Linked DNA regions of Macaca fascicularis. The protein of the gene in region 1 purifies or fractionates together with the protein of each later gene. This does not show direct contact. Links are inferred from orthologs where the notes say so. Each region holds a gene or a part of one and is shown on either strand. Other genes may lie near its edges. The genes, in order: ZEB1 and CTBP1.

Region 1 (8,743 bases):
CCCTAAGTAAGAAACTTCATGTGTTAACATTTCATTGACTTATATTAAAAATAGGAGCCTCATTCCCCAGAGGGGTAAGTACCATTTTGTGGTAAACTATGTAACAAAATCAAAAAGTATGGAGAAAACATTTGTCCCTGTGATACCTCCTGGGAGGCTGTATTCGAAGGGCTGGCATGGGTCCTATGGCCAACTGTGGGTTCTGCATCATCCTGTAGTCATGTTTCCTTCCTGACTCAATGACTGCAGAATTTGGTGAGACTGCAACAGTGAAATGACCATTGCCCTTCTTTGTTCCACGGTGAACCACAAATCCAGAATTACCGTAGGTCAGGAGCCATGGTCAGAGCCAAGAATTGAGTAGCGGCTTTATGGGACCTCTAAATTCTGTACTTTGAGGGATAACATGTATCACATTCTTTTCCTTCAAAATCTCTAAGATTAAAATTAGGTATTGAATTCAAGAGTTGCATTTACATGCTATCCTTCCATGAAATTAACCAACTTTAAATTTCGATGAAGACTAGAGAATTATACATTGCACTTCTCAATGTGTTTTGGAAGAGGTATGTGGGAATGATATGCTTCATGTGGATCACCATGAAATCTCTACATTTTAAATTTAAGATAATTTTATGTCAAATTTTATCCTAATTTATACATGATTCATATATGAAAAGCAAATAGCAGGTGCAAAGGGTTTATGAAAAATTTATAGAAAAAACTCAGTATTGGAACTATTTTATCCATTTACATTTTACCCGTAAATTTGGAAGTTAGTATAGCAATTCATTTTTAGAATATCTTCCCTTCAGCATACATAATCCCAGTGCTCAGTAGCAGCAGAGTGTTAACATTTCATTGACATATTAAAAATAAGCATATATATTGCATGTATGCTATATGACAGCACTACAATTACTAAAATCAAGAATGCAGGATACATGTTAAACTCATATATTAGTATCCCCTACCATTGGATTTGAATAAGCCTAAATTTTAATAATCTTCTTTTATAAATAGATTCTAAAGACTTTTCCCCTATTCTTTAGTTATATTTAAGAGATAAGAAGCAACCATCACACATGCATCATGTTTAAAGCAGTAATTTATTCTGAGATTTACTTTCATCTGTTTTCTTTCCAGTCCAGATATCAATATTTTCAAGAACATTACAGTATAATAATCAAACATTAAATTCATAATCTACATACTTATCAGAAGCTTTTACAAAATGGAAATTTTATGTTAGAAGATTTGGGCTACCAGTAATATTCACTGTGCATATTTTAAAAATAAGGTGAAAAGAGTTCATTGTTTAGGGAAAATGATTGTGGAGAAACTAAAATCACGAGCAATTTTAGTCTGGATATTAATGACAGTAATCACTTTCACATCCATGACTCTAGCTGTTCCTAAGGACTAAGGGGATGAAGGCAGATTATGTATCTTACTGTCAAGAACAGGGTCAGAAAAGGTCAACAATATTAATTTAAGAAATGTTTATTAAGCACCTACTATTGGCTACATACTCCACTAGGTGTTGAGGACATAGAAATAAGAAGAAAAAAAAGTTGCCTGAAAAGGTACTTGTCCACAGAGTCTGGCCTAAACTAACTAAACCAGAAGCCACTAAAGGAAGAAAATGACTTCTGTTTGTCTCTTCACTTCATCTCTTTACGAGGTGAGAATGAACACTGAAGGAAGCTGAGAGGGGAGGTATAGGCCAGAGAACATGAGAAAATGCTATTTGTAATACTTCCTAAGTTTAAGAGTAGATAAAATGTGTGCTAGAGTTGGAAAGTTTTTTTTTTTTTTTTCCTTACTGTGGGGGCAATTCCATAGTCTATGACCTGATTCAGTAGGCGACTGAAAAACATTGTACAACTCTTAAAAAGGGAGGAAGAGCTCACACTTAACCAAGCAAAGGACACCGTGTTGACATGCACAAGTTTCGGTTAACATGGTATCGAGGACAGCGAGGACTGCCTGTACTTAAAATGATCATTAAGACTAATGATTCTAGTTTTGGCATTGAGGATGAATGCAGATATATAGTCATCGTGTATAGCAAAGAATATTTACAGTCACATTTCATGGACCAATAAATAATGCATTTACTTCTCAAAATGCCCAAGAAAATGCGGGAGAGAAAATGTTCATCTACATTCAAGATTAAACTTTCTAACTTTAAATCACCAGACTTCAGTTGTAAATTTATTTCAGTTGAAAGGTTTGAAGACATTATTAACGAATATTCTAAAATTCCAGAAAGTGTTCAAAAGATAATTTTAACCTAATAAAAAAATCCTGCCATGATGTGGCAAAAATTGTAAGCATAAATTTATTGAGCACCTATTATGTGTCACTGTACTAGGTGATGTACTACGTTATTTCCAATACTCTGGTCATGTTTCAGTTTTCTCCGTTTCTCTATCAATAACCCCTACATTGTTAATTTATAACTATAGTATTTGGCATACAGCTCATTTATTCCATAAAGTTGGTCCCAAAGACGTTTCCTTATTCGAAGGAGGTGGGAAGCAGGAAGGAAACCTAAATCTAAATTCTACTGAACACTGAAGACAACTTTCTTGATATTTGTGGTTATCTGCGTGGTCTTTTCAGAAATCCCCAAACTTGTACCAAGTCAAGGATAAAATAAGATAAAATCAGCAATCTGTCAGGTTCAGAGATCACATCTGTCAGCCGATGCTTCTTGCCTTAAGGTCCTGCACAGCGATGACCGCTAATTTAGGAAGGAATTCATGGCCTGTGGATACAGGCTTAGCTCTGAGTCCTGCCGCCTAGGATCCCAGGGATCTATGCGAGGAGGAGGGCGGGGAGGGCGGACCGGGTGGGGGAGGCCGAGGTGACAGCAGGTGAGGGCCGGGTGCCGATGGGGAAGTGAGACAAGCACCGTGTGGGTATTACTCATTCCGCTCTACTAACGAGGCTGCTGGCAAGCGGAACTTCTAGCCTCTCTTTCAGTCCAGCTGAAGTTCAATCTCATTGAAGTCACTTCCCATCCTGGTTCGCTTGGGGGGAAACCGGGCGTCCCTGGAAGGGAAGGGAAGGGAGTCCGGGCTGCGCGGGTCAGGTAGCCTCTCTCCGGGCGCCGCATGTCCTCGCCGTCCCCGAAACTGCCCTTCCCCTCTTCAAGGGAACTCCCCGGGGAGTCCAGACCGCGATCCCTTTCCTTGGCCCCGGGGTGCGCGGGGCTGACACGCGAGGCGTGGGACTGATGGTAGCCCTGCCTCCAGGAAGCAGGCAGGCGGGGACCTCTGGGCGCTCGGAGGGGCAGCTCCGAGGGCACAGGGTCCAGAGAGAATCAGCCAGATCTCTCCCTGCCCAGGGCAGCCGCGGCGGGTGTGGCCAGCGCGGAGGCAGGACGCCGCCGAGCCTCCAACTTTACCTTTCCAACTCCGACAGCCCGTCGCCTTTCTGACCACGTCCCCACGGTTTCCCAACACCCGCCTCCCTCACCCCACCACACCTGAGGAAAACTTTTCCCTCGCCCCTCAATTCAAATTCACCAGTGCCCACGGTTGCCGCAAACCGCCCAGTCCCTAGCAACAAGGTTCCGGCCGTAGAGCGAGCGCCTCTAGGTGTAAGGAAGGTGATGTCGTAAAGCCGGGAGTGTCGTAAACCAGGTGCGGTGGGGAGGGGGGAGGGGTGGAGGCGGAGGGGTGGGGGGGAAGGGGGAGGGAGGGGGAGGAGGTGACTCGAGCATTTAGACACAAGCGAGAGGATCATGGCGGATGGCCCCAGGTGTAAGCGCAGAAAGCAGGCGAACCCGCGGCGCAATAACGGTGAGTGGCGGAGGGGACCGGGGAGCAGCGGAGTCAGGGGGAGCCGGGCAGCCGGGGCGCCCCCGGGGGTGAGAGGGGCGAGCCGGGCTGGGGGCGGCCGGGGCAGGGACGGCAAAGTGGAGTGGGAAAGTAGAAAGTAGTGCTCTCTGCCCCCCTCCGCTGCCGTCGCTGCCGGAGCCGCGCCGCGGCCGCTCGCTCTCCCTGAACCGTTATGTCTCTTACCTGGTCTCTCTCCGCCTAGCGGCTCCAGCCGCCCCTGCCGCCTCCCTGGACCGTTAGCCGCCGCCGGCGCCGCCGCATCCCCGGCGCAGGGCGGGCGGCCGGGACGCGCTGGCCACTTTTCTGGTCCCGGGTGGAGCGGCTGTTGCTTCTTTCGGCACTTTTCCCCACTCTTGTACCCTTCGGCGCCTCCCTCTGCACTTCCTCCCGGCCCCCTCGGCGGGATTCTCCCTCAGCGCCCAAGCACCCGGGAGCCGCAGAACAAACTTGTGCCCGGCGCTGACCGTGCAAAGTGGCTTCCGCGCGCCGCGGCCCCGGCTGGCGCCGTCGTTCGGGCCCCGCGACTCGGGCCGGGCTGTGGGCGCGCGGCGGGCGGGCGGCGGCGGGACGGGACGACCGCGGGTTGCGTGGGGTCCGTGCGCGCGTGTGCGCGGGCGCCGGCGGTGCGCGCCGCGGGCGGACAGGGCTTGGCCGGCGGCGGTAAAGTTGGGACCCGCGGGCCGGGCGCGCTCGCGGAACGGGGATTAGAGGCGGGGGCGCGGGTTCCTAAGCGCCCCTCCTTTCCGGCGCCTCCCGCCGCCGGGCCCAGAGCCCCGGCCTGGGGACTCCGCTACGAGCCCCGCGATTGGGGTCCACGTTTGGCGGGGCGCGGCGGGGAGGCGCGGGGACAGGGCAGGAAAGGCACCTACTTAACGCCACCGGGAGCCGCGCGGATGGAGGCGAGCTGGGCGGCGGGTGTGTTTGCGGAGTTGTTACCTGGGCTTAGAGACCGGGAAGCACCACAGACAGATCCCCCTCCCGGGGCAGACGCGGTCTCTGCGCCGGGATGGGCCGGTGTGCGTGCGCCTCTCGCTTTTCTCTTTCGCTTTTTGGGGAAGTTGTTACCTGGGCCGGACGCACGGAGCGCTGAAGCCGGATAATGGGGCTTGGATGGCGCTCTGGGTCTCGGGTGGAAGGAGGGTGGGGGGAGGGGGCGGACGGACCGACGGACGCGCGGGGCTGCTACTCGCGCCGCAGCTGCAGTGTTTATTGATTTGTGCTGCTGTGCCAGGGGAAACACACACCCCTCTGCCTGGCGTGAGAGTTAAAAAAAAGAGAGAGAGAGACACACAGCCCGAGGGATCGAGACCTGAACATGTGGTGGTGGTTGCACAGTCGCCTTTTCCAGTTTGGAGAGACGTTGTAAGTTGATTGTATTTCTGGTTATCTCGGGGCGATGCTGTGCTTTCTCTCCCTCTCGTGCAGCAGGGAAATGTCTGCTGATTGTTATTGTCTGGACAGTTCCTGTGGCGAGAGGGGCGAGACTTGTCCGCCCGGGGGCGGCGGGAGCGCGGGGAGAGCAGCCCCCGCCAGCGCCGCCCGGGTACCTGTTTGTATAATAATGGGCGGCAACGGCCCTGCCGCCGGCCGCAGCCCAGGCTATATAAGGAATTACACGTACATTTCGGACCGAGGGGCTCGCTTTGGTTCCTGCGTTATTTTTAAAACGACTTTTAAGAGAGGGGCAATAAATGCGTCTATAATGGGACCGCTGCAGCGTCGAGAAAACGAGGAAATACGTATTTAGGAGAAAACTCTCTCTTGCTCCCCCGCCCCACCCCCCGCGCCTGGGCTCCCTTTCTCCCTCCCCTCTGGGATGCGAAACGCGAGGTTTTGTAACCTTTCCTGGCAATTTTAGATTTTGTGTGGGATTTCCTGTCTAGAAGCAGATACGAAGATTTTTAAGCTGTTTCAAGATGTTTCCTTTCAATCCATAAATATGTTTTTAATATATTCGAGTCGACATTAAAATCACTGCTTTCATGAGTGATTTTAATTATTCAAATAAACACTTGCATTTTAAAGACGTATATTGATTATAATCGAAAGGTATTTTGGTATCCTCATTGTGGAGAGATGACTTGTTATAGCAAGGAGTGGAGCATAGGCTATTGCAATTTTAATTTCCTGTTTTAGCGTCAAATAGTGTGTGTTCTATATTGAGCTGTTGCCGCTGTTGCTGATGTGGCTTTATGAAAGGTAAGTTGGTTCGGAAAGAGCTGTTCGCTTTTTACCTTATTTAAAATGTTGATCGCCAGAGAAAGGGGCTTTTCTTGTTGCTGACGACATGTGTGTGACATGTGAGTCTGAACCACCCAGCGTCTGTGCAGCTGCTGTAAACATGTTTACCTGAACAGGAAAGAATGGATTTTTCTCCTTAAGATCCTGTGATATGAATATTACACTTGTAAGGCATATCAACAGATGACTTAAGGGGGGAAAAGCGATCCTGAAAGGTACTTGAAATCAAGAAGAAAAAGAGGTTCTTGATCGCTGCAGCAAATGGCAACTTGTGCAGGTAGAAAAAAGATGGTGTTTAGTTTTCTCCTGCATGTATGTCAGCCCCCTCCTGTCTGCTGCTTTCATTCTCAAGGGAGGGATTTATTTACCATGCTTGATGTCAGTGTTTTTCCTTTGTGTTTAATATTAGAAAAACAGATTTGCGTCTGTTTAGCACAAAACGTCTTGTCTGCAGTATGCATTACTCTCAGAAAACAAAAGGTGTTTAAGGTAGCACTGTACTACTACAGGTATCTTCCATTTTCATCACTTTTGGCTCTGTCCTTGTATTTCTTTTTGTTCTCAAATGCATTTCATCCATTGCTGGTGATTGTAGTCATGCTATTTGATTTAGCCTTATATTTTGCAAATTAAAAATGAAGTTATATTCCATTGTGTTGTGAAACCTCAGTATATGTGCTGGTTAATATTTCTTAGCAGTGCAGTCATATTTAAGTTGCAGATGTTTATTGGAGAGAATTGCCTGGCAAAATGTTAACTCTCAAATCTTTTTAATGAAGAAATACGTGATGTATACAGTGGAAGATTGTCATAGAGAGATACTTTATGTTGTTTTTTATATATGTAAATGTCTTATTCATTTTGAAATAAGATATGTGGATTTTGCTGCTAAGGCTTCTGTAAAATATTTTAATTTCCTTTCTGGAATATGTCTGAAGGTAAGATATTAAAGGGAGTATCAGGTAATGTAACTGACAGGGGTAAACCAGTTGGGTAAGGTTTGGCCAAAGCATCAAGCCTTGTGTGGTAACTTTATGATAATGTTAGTCATCCATAAAGGAGTGATATTAGAATTGCTGGAATTAGTTTTTACCATTTATAATTTCATGCTTTGTTGTGTTTTAAAAATCTGTCTTTTCTCTTTTTCTGCTTTCTTCTATGTGGTTTTCTTCTTCTTCCTTTTTTTTTTTTTTTTTTGAGAGAGAGAGAGAGATGTACTCTAGCTACTAATGACCACATGCTAATTAATTCTCTTTAGATGGAATAGCAGGTACATATCCTTCTGTCATCAGCACCATTTCCCCTTGCTGTCATTGGAAACCACCAGTAGAGGATGCTAACAAAAATGATTATTGGTGTAGTAGTATCATAAGTCTCTCTATCTACTGTGCTGATTGGGACCTTCAGTATAATTCTAAGTCTTATTGTTAATTAAAACTAGCCTTGGTTAAATTAGGCATAGGCATTTTCTAGTTTGCCAAAACTAGAAAGAAGCAGGACTGTTTTAACTTGAATAATTTTATAAATTTGAGTTATTTAAGTCTCTAATTGAGGTTGCTACTAATTCATTTTTGTTTTAGAGCAGTTGCATCACTCCTTATTTTAAAAAGGTTTTGTTTTATGTTCTTAGGTTTGGAGAAGAATATGTAATAATTGACCCATATTTATTTTGTGTATTTAGAATACTTTTTAATCATCCCTTTTTAAAATTAATAGTAAGATCCCTTAAAATACATATTTTAGATGTTAAAATACATCTAAAATGGTAAAAGTTTAAGAGTAGTAAGAATTACAATTGATTGATAATACTATAATTATTTTTATATAACTTATGTAGACTTAGACTATGGATGGGTTGGCAGAGAGCTACTAAAGGAGGTGGTAACTAGCAGTCACTCAGATGTTAGCGATTTTTAGATTTTATCTTTTCCTTCCCCTTCAGGTCTTTTCCTACTGGTAGTGCTCCCCGACCTCTTTAGTTAAGAATCAGTTATTGCATAGTCATACGTTTTAAATTTGTCAGTTGTAAATTAAGAATATAAGTTTGCTTTGAGATCTTAAATGCAGTAAAAAGTCTCTGTAGTTCGTTCGTTGCTGTATGGTTGTATTAAAATAACTCCTTTCAACAAACTATAAATTGCATATAAATAATTGCATGAGACAGTGTATTTAGTTATGTCTTTTCATTTTGTGTCCTTATAGGTATATTAATATAACTGTAAATTTTAAGCCTCTCATTAAGTAGAACATTAAAGTATTTATTTCCTTAATTATTTGTAGTGGTGTTTCTATAAATGCATCAATATCAGTACCATAATGGGATAGCCATAGTGTTTATCTTGAACTAAGTAGGTATTGAATTGCCAGGTAAGCCTGTGTTAATTTCTTATTTTAGGATGTCATGGTTATTCGTGTGTGTGTGTAAATAGTTTTTCATTTCCTGACAGGTATTTATTTAATTTAGTATTCTAATTCCTGAGGGCTCAGTAGTGAATAGGTGTGATTCACTTACATGTTTATGAACTCAGAAACTTGGCCACAAAGTCACGAGATACATTGTAGCATGGAGCAAAACTTAAAGTATCTTATAAATTGAAAGTATTAATCATTTATTAAGATGACCCTGATATAAAAAGCATGTGAAATATTTG
Region 2 (8,535 bases), on another chromosome or scaffold:
TCCATCCCCGCTTGCTCAGACCCAGGCTCGGCGGCCACCAACCCTCCACGTGCCTCCACTGGCCAGCCCTGCTGGGCCAACTGTATGCTCCCCTCCCCACAGCCTCTACCAGGACAGTGTGTCCCAAAAGCCCCTCCTCACCAACCTCACCTCTCCCTCTCCACAGCAGCCCCTAAAGCCGCTGCCCAGGAAGGAGCTCCCCAACCACCAGAAGGGCACCCTCAGGCTGGGCAGTCTCACCAGCCCTCACCCCGCCCTGTCCCCGTAAGCCCTGATTACTCCAGGCTCGAGTGGCCATCTTATGACAAAGCTGTCCTGCCACAAGTCCCCAGCACAGCCATCTGGGCACTGGTGAGATGCCCCCCTTGGCTGTCCAGGCCTGGAGGCCCCTGTGCTGCCCAGCCAGGAGCTGACATGAACGAAGGCTGTGCACAGCCTGACCCGGAGCCTTCCGGTCCTGAGATACAGCCGCCTGCCACCCAGAGGGAACTGAGCCCCTGCCCTTCAACGGCAGAGAAGGCAGGCCCTCAAGAAGGACTACACAGCAGCGTGGAGCCACTGGGCTGAGAGCATGGGGCCACCAGAACCTCCCTCAGACAGACACCGCCCGTCACCCATGGACTGATACAGGTCCTCCGATGACAGCACCCCAGACGGACACCGCCCAAGTCACCCACGAGCCGTTACGGCACCTCCAACGACGGCATCCCTGTGAGCCAGGGAGCCACAGTACTCCACAGGGCCTGTGGGGCCGCATCACAGCTCAGAGGACACAGTGTAGGGGCTGCGATCAAAGGCACGGATTTGCCAGCAAGATTCCTCTCCAGGACACCCGTGGAGCCGTACGTTTCCCTGTTTATTCAGGGAGCACATGCACATGCCCTGTGAGCTCCAGGACCCCCAGAACACCACCTTCCCGGCTCCTACCACGCGTGGGGTATCAGGGCTACACCCTTCCTCTCCTTCTCAACAGGACACTCTACACATGACACCACTCGAGAGGCAGCCTCAGACGCCTCTGAGGCTCACGCCAGCCATGCAGACAGGGCAGCCCAGCAGCCCTCACACCACAGATGGGTGGCAGGTCAGGGTGACACGGGTGGGCAGGGTGACACGGGTGGCGGGGCAGGGTGGCATGGGCGGGCAGGGTGGCATGGGTGGGCAGGGTGGCATGGGCCACACTAGGCCTGGGGAGTTGATGGCGGTGCCAGGGGAGGGTGCAGAAGGGGCCTGGTCCCAACACCACCCACACCTCTCTCAGGGCCGTAGCCCCAACTCCTCCCCATCCAAACCAACTGGGCTTCCCTCAGGGCCATCCTCACTCTTCCTTCAACGCACATAAGAACTGGCACCGCCTGGCCACCCAGAGAGACAACTCAAGGTTAATGTTTGGCTTGACAAAAGGCCACCCAAGAGATTTCTGACTTTACAGGAAAAAACTGAACGTTTCCTCGTGGGAGATACCACATGGAGTGTGTGGCTGGACGGGCTTCTGGAAGGGACGGTCAGTGATGCAGGTGGCATCTTGTGGGTTACCCCCACCCAGTGTGGGGGAGAGTAGTGGGCCCTGGCCACTGCAGCCGACAATGGAGGACCTGGGGGGCCAGACACTCCCAGCACAGAGCTCCTACCCACAACTACCAAAATCCAGCGACCACCAGAGGACCCCGGTACTCTGACCAGCGTTCCCTCAGGCGATGCAGTTCAACCACAGAACCCGGAGGACACCACCTGCTGCCTCCACCACCTCCTGGCCACCCCTGGGCCCTGAGCCAGGCCTGCACCGTCAGCACCACCCGTACGGAGCCCTCTCCAGCCCTGAGTGGAGGGGAAAACAAGAAGTCCTTCTGGAAGGAGAGTCACTCGGGTAAACACCTCACAGGGCACACGCCTTTGACTTGGGCACTGCGTGGGGAGCGCCAGGGCACAGCCAGGCACAGAACGCTGCCTGAAGGGTTCTCAGCAACACTAGTGGTACCAGCCGTACGCCTCTTGGCTCAGGGACGCCACCATCAGCTCAGACCAGGTCACACTCTGGGGGCAGTGGCCACAGGAAGTTGAAAGGGCTAGTTACAGTCAGAGGAGAAAAACTGCCAGGCGAGCCAGGTGTGGCTGAACAGCCACCTCTGAGCTCCAAAGGAAGAGACTAGGCCTCTCGAGCCTGGGACCCGTTTCCTGCAGAGCGTGACTACTTCTGTCCAGGGTTCCTCCAGAAAAAACTTATTAACAGAGTGACTGTTAACAGTGGCTGTCTGCTGGATAATGGAACCTTACACTACAAACGTCCAAAGAGTGGGGGGCTCCCAGCCCTTGGAGGAGGCAGACAGGACCAGCCAGCACCTCCAATCTCCCCAGGATGTGGCTGGGGTCGGTTCTGCGCCAAGCCCACAGGACTGGGCCAAGGCCCATCCCACTCAGCAGACGGACAGGACCAGCCCACAGTCCCGTGCACCCGGGGCCAAACCTCCCCTCCCCCACTGCCATGTTCTCAGGTTAATGACAAGTGTGCAAAAGGGAAGATCCTACTCACTGACATTCCCAACCACATGTCCACCTCTCAGAACTAACAGCTGCCCTGGTCAAGGCTGACAGGACGAAGTACATGCTGCGGACATGGCAGACACCTCAAAAACGGCCAGGCAGGTGGACAAGGCACCCCGGGCAGTGAGCAGATGCAGCCCCCACTGCATGTCCCTCCCAGAGTTCTGCAGAGGACGCCAGCATGGAAGCAGGTGCTCAAAGATGGGCGACAGAATCACAGAGGGCAAAACGCGTCTGCAGAGCTGACAGTGCCAACCAGGAGCCAAACCCAGACCCCAGAGGGAGGTGGCCAGGCCTGGGCGGGCAGGGGAGACCTGGTGCTGAGGCCCAGGGCAGAGCCACGCCCTACAAAGTTCCAGGACACAGAACGAGAGACCCCCAAACCGCAGCTGTCATCCTCAGCTGCAACGGCAAATAGTTACCCCACGGTGCTGCCCCAACCCTGCCCCAAGCCGCAGACGGGTACACAGACGCGCACAGGCCATGCGCTAGGAGCTCAGCGAGGACGCCCGCGGCGCGGGCCCAGCCACCAGCGCCGTTTTCTTCCCGACGGACTTGTGCTCCCTGCCGAGCTCCTACAGAAACGGTGGAGAGGACTTGGCTGGGGGTGCTCGGGCTCCACGGAGCACCCTGCGCACCCGCCGCCTCGGCCCTGGCTCCGGGCCCTCTAGCCCCAACTCTCAGGGTTTCACCTCCCCACTCAGGGCACCGGGAAGGGCGCGACCGCCTTCCCTTTTCCCCACTGGAAGGGAATTCTGTCCCGGCAATCGCGGAGACTACAGCAAAAGGGCTCTGGCCCCGGCCGGGCTTCTGGACACCGATGCCCTTGGAGGCCGCCAGAGAACGCTCCAGCTTTGGCCCGGGGATCAAGCGCGCGGGCTCTGCCTTTGCAGCCGTGTCGAGGGAGAGAGAGGCTCCGCGGAGCGGCCCGGGCCGGCCCAGGATGCGGGCGCTGCAAGATGGCGATGGCCGTGCGCCCGGCGTCCGCCCGTGCTCCCTGCTTCCGGGGCCGCAGCCGGCGAGGAAGGCGCCCCGGGACCCGGGCCGGCACAGGCAGAGGCAGGTGGAGGCGCCGGGCCGGGCCGGGCCCTCGCGGAGTTCGCGGGAGCGGAGACCCCCGGGGACCGCCCGCGTCACCGCCGGGGGCTGCGCTTTGGGCCCGGTCTGAGGGCGGCGGCCTCCTCCACGGTCAGACCCGGCGCCCAGGCCCCGTCCCCTTCCCCCACAGCGCGCGGCCGCGGTCGCCGGCAGCCTCAGGGCGGGAGGGGGCGCGCTCCCGCGAGTGGCCCGGGAGCGCGCTCCCCAGGACACCCGTAGCTGCGCACGGCGCAGCTCCCACCCCGGTCCCGCAGGCCCAGCCGCGGGGTCGTGACCGGGGACGGGGTAGCGGCCGGGGATCGGGACTCGGGACTCGGGGTGCCGTCCCGGGTCCCATGGGGCTGGGGTCGGTGGAGCAGCCTGGAGGCCCACGGGCCCCTTTGTGTCACCTGCGCGGGCCGCGGGCGGGGAGTGCACACGGCGGCGCTCGCTCACACGCAGCGGCCCGCGCATGCGCACGACCCTTGCCGCGGTCCCGCCCCCGACCGCGGCCACGCGCGGACGACGGCGCGCACGCGCACTCGCACACAAAGCCGGCGGCCCGCGGGCGCGCGCTCGGCCCGCCCCCGCGCCCCCCGCCCGCGCGGCCCCCGCCCCGCCCCGCCCCCGCCCGCGGCCGGAAACGCGCGCGCGCGCGGCCTTACCGAGCGGCAGGCCCTTGTTGAGCAAGTGCGAGCTGCCCATCGAGAGGCGCGAGCGGCCGCGGGCCCCGACCACTCCGGCGCGCTGCGCCGCCGCGAGTCCGGCGCGTGGGGCGGCCTCGGTGCCGTCCGCTGCTCCGCCCGCTCGCCTGCGCCTGGCCGCCGCCGTGCCGAGCCTCCGCCGCGCCGCTGAGCCGCGCTCCGACGACCGCGCGGGCGGGGACACGGCGGCGCGCGCGGGCGGGGCCTCGCGGTTGGTCTCCTGGTTCCCGGCGCGGGCGGCGCACGGACTCACGCGGGCGGCTCAGGGCCCGCCCGGCCGGGCGCGGCTGCGGGGCGGGGCGGGAGCCTGGCGGGAAGCTCACGGGGCCTGCAGCCCGGCGGAGGCCCGAGGCCCGGTGTTCCGCACGTTCTAAACCGCCTGTCCCGGAGGAAGGCGGGCAGGGTCGGGCCGGGCTCAGCACCGCTGGCAGGAGCGCCGCCCGCCCCGAGGCCCCCTGCGGGACGGCGCCGGGCCCGGAAGCCGAGGCAGGGTCGCCCACGTCAGCGCCCGGAACGGACCCGAACGTAAATGGCGCTCCTCCGCGCAGCGGCCGCCCCGCTCCCTTCCCGCCCCGCCAGCCGCCGCCCTCCCCCGCTCGCTTCTGGCCCCGCGGCCTGGCCCGTGCGCCTCCGAAGACTTGTCCTTGCGGTGCCGCTGTCCCCGGGGCTGGCCAGGGGCACCGAGGCCGCGGGTTCCCCCCATCGCCCCCACCCGAGCCCTGATTTACCGTCCAAGAGCCGGCCGCACATGGGGCCCCGGGAGGAGAAGCGCGCCCGCCCCAGTTCGTCCCCAGCCGGGGGGGACCCCGACTCCGGGAGGGGCCGCGTTCTGCCCGGCCCAGCGCGCTGTTCCCGGCCCGGGAAGTTCAGGGCTGGAGAACCCCCTTCTCGACCCCGTTTCTCCTTTAACAAGAGTAGGGTTTGTAGCCAGCTCTGCTTCTGCCCGCTGCGGGAAACGCCCCGACCCGGGAGGGCCCGAAAGTCCCTTCAGGGAGAGGCCGCACCGGGCCTGCTCACCCAGGGGCTGCCCCTGCAGACTCTCCCGAGGGGCCCAGGGATATTCCTCGCGCCGCGAGTGGACGCTTCCATCCACCCCGTGGGGAGTTGTGGGAAGGGCCTCTGCGCGTGGCTACTCTGAGCACACTGGAATGATCAGATAGTTGCATAATTTGAGAAACCACAGCCTGGAGACGGAATGATGCAGACTCCTATCCGAGAGACACCTGCTCTAGTTTCGCTGTGGTTCGTGAGGACGCGTCCTAGGCTGCCCTGAGAAGCCCATGTCTGCCCTTCCAGGCCTGGGAAGACCTCTGACCCCACTGACAGTGCTGGGCCCTCAGTCGGGCCTGCCATGCGTACCACTTTCTGTTCTAAGACCGGGCTGCCCAGCTGTGGCCTGGAGGAAACCTGGCAGGTATCACCAGAGCTTTGGGGAGGGTGGGGCCCTGTCAGGGAAGCCCAGTGGGAGTCATGAAGGAGGGAACACGTGTGGAGCCCTTGTAGGGGGAGGGGCAGCCCTGCAGAGATCTAAGAAAATTCCAGAAAAATGAGCAGCAACCTCCAAGGCCAGACATCGGTGCAGGGGACAAGGGGTCACAGATGGAGGGGCCTAGGTGAGGCTGCTGGGAAGGGATGATGTGGTTGGTGGAGTGCACAGGCAGGGACCTCACTGGACTTTCCTATCTGCTCTGCATGGACAGGCAGCCCAGAAGGCAGCAGGGACATGCCACTCCCTTTTTCCCCAGGGAAGCTGGGGACAGACGGGTCCCAGGCACTCCATCCTCTGCAGCAAGTCAGGTTGTGATTTACTGGGCATTGGTGAATAAAATGGAGAGGCTTCTGGGGAGAAATTCCTGGCTCCCACGTGGACTGGCAGAGCTCAACAGGCAGCCACGTGGCTGAGTGTCCAGCAAACATCACATAAGGCTTTGGGTCCTGTAGGTGAGGCTGCCCTGAGCAGCAAGCTCAGTCCAGAAGAGCAGTTCCTCTCCAGGATCCATTTCCTGCGCACTTTTATGTCCAGTGTAGCTGGAGCAGAGCTCGCTGGAATTCCACAGGCAACTAAGAACGGAGAGGGATGCATGCCAGCCAGGGATCCATCGTCTTCCCCATCAGCACGCCCCATGGCCTCCGTCTGCACAGTGTCCCTCTGCACAACTTGTCAGTGCGTTATCACGACTCTTATTTGGCCCTGGCCCGTCCCACTGTCCTGGCTTGTTCCAAGTGCTTCCTTCTCCAGCTGTGATTCTGGCTGCAGAGCTGTCTGCTCCCCACGTTGGGCAACTCCAGCCAAGATTCCTACACCCAAATGTGACTGTGTTGCTCACAAAGAAGCCTCAGCTTTGTGTGCACCCAGCCGTGTGCACAGCTCGTCCCAACCCCAGTGGGCGCTGCCTGCCTCTCCCACTTCCAGTCCTTGCCATGATGAGCAGATGACCCCCGCCCTCCAGGGTCAGTGTTTGGCTGCTCTTGTGCCTGCCCACCTGCCTCCCTGTGCCTGGGCCTGTCATGTGCCTGCACACAGGAGGGTCTCGTGGCGTTTGCCCTACACGGATGGGCTGTCCTAGGAGCTGCTGGAGAGTCACCTTGGTGGGGATGCCAGAGGCCTGGGCACCAGGTTCCCCCCGGCCAGCCTTCATTCCCACACGGGGTATTTTTGTCCATCACGTGGGACAACCTAGGATTGGGGGAAAATTCAGTACATTCTGAAGAAGCATCGGCATTTTGGATGGATGAATGCTGCTTCATGCAACTCCAGGTCAATGGACTATATTATTCAACTCGGGTATTTATGAGTGCTCCTGTGTACCAGCCACGTGTGAAAGAAAAACTCCAAGTTACTTGACACCAGGACAAACCAGGTAGATCACTGCGTCTGGTTCCTCCTCTTTCTGCTAACTCTCCTGGACCACCGTTCTGATTTCTGGCAGAGTCGGGGGCGAGCTCATCAGTACCCAGAGCGTCTGGTGTGCAGCCAAAGGCCCCCATTTTATCAGTCGGTGTGTTCAGGATCACACTCAGGACAACGGCCACCCTATTACTTCACATACCTCAAATACAAAAAGTGCCTGGGAACGTTGATGAGGTGTTAAAGGAAACCACTGGTGGTGTCAGTCATGTACACACAGAAAAAAAACAGTCTTTTTTTTTATTTATTTTGAGACAAGAGTTTCGCTCGTTGCCCAGGCTGGAGTGCAATAGTGCAATCTCAGCTCACTACAACCTCAGCCTCCCGGGTGCAAGTGATTCTCCTATCTCAGCCTCCCGAGTAGCTGGAATTGGAGAACACCCATCACCACGCCCAGCTAATTTTATGTATTTTTAGCAGAGATGGGGTTTCACTGTGTTGGTCAGGCTGCTCTCGAACTCCTGACCCTCAGGTGATCCACCTGCCTCAGCCTCCCAAAGTGCTGAGATTACAGGCGTGAGCCACTACAGGCGTGAGCCACTGCACCCGGCCAAAAACAACCAAGAAATTTTTAACAATAAAATGACCAACAAGTAAACTTGAAACAAAAATGGACAAATATCTAAAATATTTTAAAATGTATGTATTTTAATTGGCAAATAATAATTGTATATATTTATTGTTTACAACTTGTTTTAAAATATGTATACATTGTGGAATGGCTAAATCAAGTTAATTAACATGCACTAACTCACACACTCGTTTTTTGGTGTGGTGAGAACACTTAAAATCTACTCTCAGCAATTTTCCAGCACACGATATTGTTACTAACTATAGTCATCATGTCCTACTATAGATCCCTAGAACATATTCCTCCAATGTAACTGAAATGTATCCCTTGACCAACATCACTGCCCAGCCCCAGTGCCAGATACACACCATTCTACCCTCTGCTTCTGTGAGTTCAGCTTTTCTAGATTTCACCTGTAAGTGAGATCATGCAGCATTTGTCTTTCTGTGCCTGGGTTTTTCACATAACGCCCTGGTTCATCCATATCATCATATATGGCAGCATTGTCTTCCTTTTTAAGGCTGACTGGTGTACCATTACATATACACACCACATTGTCTACCTAAAATATTTTTAATACAATTGCTGAACACTGCCACATAACTTGTATAACTGCTATAAGGGCTTGGTTTTCAGCCATAAGATGGGAAGAGAAATAACATCTACCTGCAGGATGACTGCAAGCTGTAAAGTGCCACAAAGCCCAGGGGAGCCCAGAACCGCCACTGCAGGAC

Evidence for each region.
Region 2: the proteins of ZEB1 (region 1) and CTBP1 purify together in Homo sapiens (affinity purification with mass spectrometry; 9 studies listed by BioGRID and IntAct, counting the BioPlex papers as one, with this or other methods). This does not show direct contact. The link is inferred for Macaca fascicularis from reciprocal best matches to the Homo sapiens genes ZEB1 and CTBP1.

Annotation. Positions count from the first base shown.
Region 1 is NC_088383.1:32,073,275-32,082,017, forward strand, and holds the start of ZEB1 (zinc finger E-box-binding homeobox 1), read left to right. Parts: upstream 1-3,735; 5' UTR 3,736-3,754; coding exon 3,755-3,812; intron 3,813-4,034; exon of another isoform or gene 4,035-5,213; intron 5,214-5,714; exon of another isoform or gene 5,715-6,043; coding exon of another isoform or gene 6,044-6,050; intron 6,051-8,743. UniProt on the Homo sapiens protein: Acts as a transcriptional repressor. Inhibits interleukin-2 (IL-2) gene expression. Enhances or represses the promoter activity of the ATP1A1 gene depending on the quantity of cDNA and on the cell type.
Region 2 is NC_088379.1:1,341,646-1,350,180, forward strand, and holds the start of CTBP1 (C-terminal-binding protein 1), read right to left. Parts: upstream 4,499-8,535; 5' UTR 4,324-4,498; coding exon 4,284-4,323; intron 4,099-4,283; exon of another isoform or gene 2,964-4,098; intron 1-2,963. UniProt on the Homo sapiens protein: Corepressor targeting diverse transcription regulators such as GLIS2 or BCL6. Has dehydrogenase activity. Involved in controlling the equilibrium between tubular and stacked structures in the Golgi complex.